2 linked regions of the Arabidopsis thaliana genome follow. The protein of the gene in region 1 interacts with the protein of each later gene in a pairwise test. Each region holds a gene or a part of one and is shown on either strand. Other genes may lie near its edges.

Evidence for each region. The genes of interacting proteins can lie anywhere in the genome.
Region 2: the proteins of AGL36 (region 1) and HB24 interact in a two-hybrid assay, tested with the Arabidopsis thaliana proteins (one large-scale study listed by BioGRID).

Annotation. Positions count from the first base shown.
Region 1 is NC_003076.8:9,341,923-9,345,659, forward strand, and holds AGL36 (AGAMOUS-like 36), read left to right. Parts: upstream 1-1,862; coding exon 1,863-2,963; 3' UTR 2,964-3,089; downstream 3,090-3,737. UniProt on the Arabidopsis thaliana protein: Probable transcription factor.
Region 2 is NC_003071.7:7,970,467-7,974,189, forward strand, and holds HB24 (homeobox protein 24), read right to left. Parts: upstream 1,616-3,723; 5' UTR 1,445-1,615; coding exon 656-1,444; 3' UTR 560-655; downstream 1-559. Other genes in the region: AT2G18340 (late embryogenesis abundant domain-containing protein / LEA domain-containing protein), read left to right, coding at 1-559. UniProt on the Arabidopsis thaliana protein: Putative transcription factor.

The sequences.
Region 1 (3,737 bases):
TAGTCATATTAATGTATTAAACTCTTGATTTTACCCTTATATGTAGTCCATTTTTAAAAATACTCTTTCTCTTGAGCAAAACAAACAAATTACCCACATCTAATGAGAAACATGTAATTTATGAACTGAAATTTTCCCGCCGAATTTATTTTTTCCCTGACAAAAAAAAATTCTACCAAAATATTTTTTTTTCCGCCAAATTTTTTTCCCGCCATTTTTTTTTCTCTGTAACAAATGTTTTTCCAGCTAAAAACATGCATTTAAAAATCTTTGTAAAGGTTTTTAAAAGCTTTGTAAATTTGTTAAAAACCCTTGTAAATCATTTTAAAACCTATTAAAATCTTTATAAAAATTTTAAATATATATGTAAATACTTTAAAAACCCGTTTTAAAACCTTTTGTTTTACATTTTAAAACCTTTTACAATAATTTTAAAAGATTTACAAGAGTGTTTAAAAGATTTACAAGGATTTTAAAAACATTTGTAAATGTTGTAAAAATCCTTGTTAAATCCTTTAAAACCCTTGAAAACTATTTAAAAACCATATAAAAATCTTTTAAAAACCCTTAATAATTTTTGAACCATTTTAAACTCTTATGAACCCCTTACAAAATGTTTTAAAAACCCTTGTAAACCATTAAAAATCTTTTAAAATCTCATGTAAACCCTTTAATAATTTTTGAACCATTTTAAAGTTCTAGAAAATTATTTTAAAAATCTTTGTTAATCTTTAAAAACACATGTAAATCTTTTAAAACCCTTTTCAAATCTTTTAAAATCACTTGTAAATCTTTTAAAACCCTATAAAAATCTTTTAAAATCCTTTGTAAATCTTTTTAAAACCTTTTACACTTTATAAAAATCTCTTAAAATCCCTTATAAATATTTTAAAACCCTTTTACACATTTTAAAAATCTATTAAAATCCATTGTAAATCTATTTCCTGCGAAATTTGTTTTTTGCGGGAAAAATCTTTTTTAAAACAAATATTATGGCAGAAAATGTTTTTTTGAAATTTTTTGGCGGAAAATTTTTTTCAGAATATTATAGGCGGGAAAAATCAATATTTCATTTTTTTACCTAAAACATATTTTAAATAGGGGTAAATAGTCATTAAAAATTAAAAAAGGGTATAAATGAAAATAACAAATAAGAAAGGGCAATACTGAAAAGGGATTGTGTTGAAAGGGCATTCATACCAATTATTCAAAGTTTTTGGCGTTTCTGTGAGATGTACTTTGCATATTTTCCAAGTTGTTTGCCCATTCTAAAAATTTATTTGTATGATTCAGAGTACATCTTTAAATTACTGTAGATAACAAACTTTCTGAAATTTACTTTAGATAACAAACTTTAGAGTAATTTCTAGCTTACCACAATTCTATATACATTGACAATATATTACTGTATTTTAAAAGTACAATCACTTAAAACTATTGCAAAACTTCATATTTTAAGAACAAAGTAAGCTAGAAATTATTCTTAGTAAAAAGAAACAATGAGAGTAAGAGAAATTAATTCGCCAAAATAAAAACAAAACTTAGAAATACAAAATATTATATTACATGCCCCCTCGTATTACATGGATAGATTTTTTTCTTTTTTTTGTCATCAGATATTATTTAGGATCAGACGTACCAAACTTTGGATAAGAAAAAATATTTTTATATAGATAATAATGAATTACCTGGTCAATTAATTGATAAGAGATTTCCTGGATGTTATTTAGAATTAATTAGTCCACCAAAGTGATAAGAATCCTAGTGTCTATAGAATCACCTTTCTTTGCTATATAAACATCCTTTGAGCAAACAAATTAAACAAACCACACAAAACAAAAAAAAAAAACAAATTGATGGGGATGAAGAAGGTGAAGCTATCTTTGATAGCTAATGAAAGATCAAGGAAAACATCCTTCATAAAGAGGAAAGACGGGATTTTTAAGAAACTCCACGAGTTGTCAACTCTGTGTGGTGTCCAAGCTTGTGCTCTCATCTACAGTCCATTCATACCGGTTCCAGAGTCATGGCCGTCAAGGGAAGGTGCTAAAAAGGTGGCTTCAAGGTTTCTGGAGATGCCGCCGACAGCCCGAACCAAGAAGATGATGGATCAAGAGACTTACCTTATGGAGAGGATTACCAAAGCAAAAGAGCAACTAAAGAACCTGGCTGCTGAGAACCGAGAGTTACAGGTTAGACGATTTATGTTTGATTGTGTTGAAGGCAAAATGTCCCAGTATCATTATGATGCAAAAGACCTTCAAGATTTGCAATCTTGTATAAATCTATATCTCGATCAGCTTAACGGAAGGATCGAGTCCATTAAAGAAAATGGTGAGTCGTTGTTGTCTTCCGTCTCTCCTTTTCCTACTAGAATTGGTGTTGACGAAATTGGTGATGAGTCATTTTCCGACTCTCCTATTCATGCTACAACTGGGGTTGTAGATACTCTTAATGCTACCAATCCTCATGTTCTTACGGGCGATATGACTCCTTTTCTTGATGCGGACGCAACTGCGGTAACTGCTTCCAGTAGATTTTTTGATCATATTCCATATGAAAATATGAATATGAGTCAAAATCTGCATGAACCGTTTCAACACCTTGTTCCTACTAACGTTTGTGATTTTTTTCAAAATCAGAATATGAATCAGGTTCAATACCAGGCTCCTAATAATCTGTTTAATCAGATTCAACGAGAATTCTACAACATAAATTTGAATCTGAATTTGAATCTGAATTCGAATCAGTATCTGAATCAACAACAATCATTCATGAATCCGATGGTGGAACAACATATGAATCATGTTGGAGGGCGTGAAAGCATTCCTTTCGTGGACGGAAACTGCTACAACTACCATCAACTACCATCCAATCAACTACCAGCCGTTGATCATGCTTCCACCAGTTACATGCCTTCCACCACCGGTGTCTATGATCCTTACATCAACAATAATCTCTAATCACAAAAGAGGGAGAAGAACTAGTCTAAGTGTTCAATTGTTTGTATTTGTGTTTTCTTCATTTCGAAAGACAAAAACTAATGTTGTTTATTAATAATGGTTAAAGGATCTCTTTTTAACTTAATTATGTATTTTGATTATTAAGTAATGTTTTGCCCCCAAAAAAAGATTATTAAGTAATGTATTTGCTCACCGTAGTGTGGGAAACTTTAATTGTAGAATTTTATTTCGAAAATTTAAGATGTGACTGGTACAATATTTAGACGGAAATTTTCAATTGAATTCTTTTAGGACCCATACATAGAGAATAATTGTTTTCCCCAGCAATTTAAAGTAAGAACTATTATTCTTTGAATCAATTATCGATTTGCCATTTTTTGGGATGGTATCTGTGGATTTTGTCCTTTTCTGAATAGTTTGTAGATTTTGCCTTTTTCACACTACGAAAATATGATTTAACATGTGTTTTATTCGTTATGTTTTGGTTTAGTCGGTTGTGCTTGTTCTTAGGATTTAATATTTTGTATAAACTACGTATTTTTACCAAAAAAATCGGAAATACATACTTTTTTTAGTGTTAGAAAATGGCATATCCATAAGATTTTAGTAAAAATTACAATTTCAAAAAAATTCTATGAAAAATGGCAAAAGCAACAATAATCTCTTATTCTTTTCGAAAAAAATTATTTGATAACAAAAAAAAAAGAACTACTCTTATTCAATGTTAAAAAAATCGTTAGGCGCTAGTTAGGCTTTCGATAGAAGCCTTGAGCC
Region 2 (3,723 bases), on another chromosome or scaffold:
GGACGTGGCTTATGAGAAGGCTGGCATTGCCAAGGATATGGCCTATGATAAGGCGGGCAATGCCAAGGACATGGCCTATGATAAGGTGGGATCTGCTTATGGCAGTGCGCAGAAGGCAAAGGATTCTGGTTATGAGAAAGCTGGTGAGGCCAAAGACTACGCCTACAAGAAGGCTGGCAATGCAAAAGACATAGCTTACGAAAAGGCCCAAGATGCAAAAGACTTTGCATATGACAAGGCGGGTTACGGATACGACAAGGCCGGTGATGTGATTAGGATGGCAACGGATAAGAGCGGTGAAGCCTATGAAGGAGCCAAAGAAAAGTCAAAGAGTGCCAAAGACACGGCAGGAGAAGCAATGGATGATTCTATTGACTACATGAAAGACAAATCACACAATGCCAAAGATGGAGCAACTAGAGGATTTGAAGAAGCCATGGAAAAAGTCGGCGAAAAGTACGGTGTAGCCAAAGAATCCACAAAATATGCTTATGAAACCGCAAAGAAAAAGGCTTCTCAAGTTGCGGGAGAAATAAGAGACCGTTATGCTGAGCTCTAAAATCAATTTGTTATACAATAAACACAAAGTCTTTAAGTTAAAGCAATGTTGAACAAAGAGAAGTAAAAATAGTATATATATATATATAGAAATCTCTTACAAATCCTTCTTCTTTGCTGCTTGTTTATTGTTGTGCATCCAAACTTTAAACACTTGTCTTTTAACTTTAATCTCACGACAAAACCGATTCACTTCATCATCTTCTAGTTTTGTCATTCTCCAACCAATCTTCTCAGCAAACTCCATCATCTTCTCCTTCTGTTCTTCATTAAACTTTGTCCTAAACCGTTTCTTGGGTTGATAATGATGAAACTGATCCACTCCATAACCACTAAAAGATTGATGAAACTTGTTTAGATCCTCCGTCGATGACTCCGCCGCACAACCACCACCACCACCAAAACTCATCATTATCGGAGACACGTGGCGGCTTCCGAGTGGTCTCTGTGAATGGCCAAAGCTATTGAAATTGACAACAAACAAACCATCGATCTCTTTTCTATGGAAGCTCCGGTGGCAATCACAAGCTGCACAAAGAAGAGACTCCACCGTGCCTTCTTCCCCGGAAGACATAAACTCGCCGCAACCGTCGACAACGTGTCCACCGGAGCTCGCCGCGTGATTCTTTTGGCATTCTCTATACCTTGCCTTCCCCGGAGAAGTAGTTTGAGGCCTAGCGTATGATCTTGGAGCATGAGATATAGAAATTGGGTTAGTATCAAGATCCGGATCCGGATCCGGGTCCGACCCGTTTCTTTTGGTGGTGGGTTTCTCTTTGTTGGCGGTTTGGGAGTAAGTGTACGGAGGAAGACGATGATGATCTAGAGCTGATGATTTTCTTCTTGTCATCTCCATTTTCTCATCTTTCTTCTCTCTAACTTCCATCTTTTCTGATCTTGAAGCTTCTGAATAAAGAAAACCCTAATATATAACTTTTCTCTTAAACAAACATTAAAACTTTCTTAGTAATCTCTCTCCAAAACCCTAAGCTATTTTGATTAAAGAAATCATCATAGCTTTAGCTTCTCATAAACCTATAGAGAAAATGAAGATGATAAATATCTCTTCCAAAGTTGAAACCTTTTTAAAAATTTTGACTTTGACTTTTGTATTAGTGATAGCCCACCAAAACCTACTAGACTAATCTCAAGTCTACAAGCAACTAAATTAAAGGGGAAAACTTATCTAACCCCATTTAAGAAGAGATCAAGAAAAGAAAATAAAGTTTAGGTCGTTACTAATGGAGAAAGAGAAAAGAGGAGAGAAGAAGACACTATTGGTCCTTCTAGAGAGAGAATTAGAGAATCGTGTTTCCTATTGCCCATCAATTTCCGAGAGAGAAAAAAAATCTAATGAAGGAGCCAAGTGGGTTTGGTCTGTGCCAATAATAATAATAACACAGTCCACTAAGAAACAAGAGATGGAGAGAGAAAGTAAGATGTGGACTTGTAGCAGACAGTGCCACGTTGTTTCTCTATCATACAGTGTCCGCACATTGGTCGCAATACATCTTTCTTTTATTGGTTTTTAATGTTGAGTAATGATAAAATTATCTTGTGTTAATTAAGTCGAATGTCAACAATTAGTATAGTTGATGAGATTAGTGTCTGTGGCTTAGCGTAAAATTAGCGATGTAAGTAGGTTTAGTACGATCAGTGCAACATATTATGGTGCATGCATTAAATATTGTTTGTAAAATAAAATGAAAGATTGAATACCTTATGAACATTTACTTTGTAAAATAAATAAGATAACCAAAATATTGTTTGTAAAATAAGCGAAAATCGAATTGGTCGAAATATTTGTAATATATGGTATGGTCTCTTATCTACTTTGATCTGATTTTTAAAATTCAGACAACCAAAATAAGATGATTTGGGCAGAATTTTTTCTCAACTCTTTTATTTTGCGCTAATTAGAGTAACCAATCACATTCTTAATGTTTTTTTCCGTACACACCCTTAATGTTTAAAGTTATGAAAACATACAATAAATAAAAAAAATGGAGTAATCGACAGTGTTTTGACCGGATTTGTGTTTCATAATGCAATCCTTACACAATTCTCATTGGAGAGCTTTATTTCATTTTATTTTTTTGGGAAAAACTGGAGAGCTTTTACCGGACTTTTAATATATAAAAACTTATGAAAAAAATTCTTAATAGGCTTTTCTTCCACTTGTCAATTTATATTTAATATTAAATTTTTCATTTTAGTGTAAGTTACATTAAAATAACAATATTTATTGTTAAGATATTCAAAATAAGTATCTAATGGATGAGAATTATGGTTTAGAAGAATAAATATAAAATCAAAACAAAAAAAAAGAACAGAAAGTGGACGAATGATGTTCTACTTGACATATAAAACTAAAACTAAATCTTCAAACCAAGATATATATATATATATATATATATATATATATATATATATATATACTTTTAGTTACGGTTGATTTCTCCAAAATGGAGCCAAAAGATCAGTAGACCATGATAGAAGAACAAAAAAAGGATTTTAGTGCTGGATAATGATTATGATTCGTTGATGACATACAGGATTATTATCATTTGTTTAGTTAGTTGAACAATTATATTTAAATTGAATGGTCAGTCTAGATACATGTAACTATATGCATTTCTCATGTGCGACATATCTCATCCCATATGCTGTTCCTCGCGGCCACACGTTCGGGGAAATCTAACTTGATTTTTTTTACAATAAACAATACTAGTACTTCGTGAAGAAAAAGAATTACTAACATTTTGAGATTCTTAATTTCTAATAATGCCTTTTTTAGAAGAAAAAAAAATCAAAGTTTAGGAGAGAGGAAAATAATAATATTCTAAAGTTTACAACTATCATCTAAGAAACTAGTATATATCATTCTATCATTGTACTTTTTTAAATATAACATTTATCATTATACAAAAAAATTCATAACATCCTATGAAAAATAAATAAAACTTAGGCTTCTTTCATTTTTTAAATGTGAAAAAAACAGACACAAAATCTTAATAAATTGAAAAGGGAGGATTATAAAGGAAACAAAGCCTCATTTGAAACTTAAGTATAATTGTTTTGAAGTATATTACTGATATCTATTTAATATGATTATATATTTATATATATGTAATGATAATCTATTTTACAATTAGTAGAAATTAT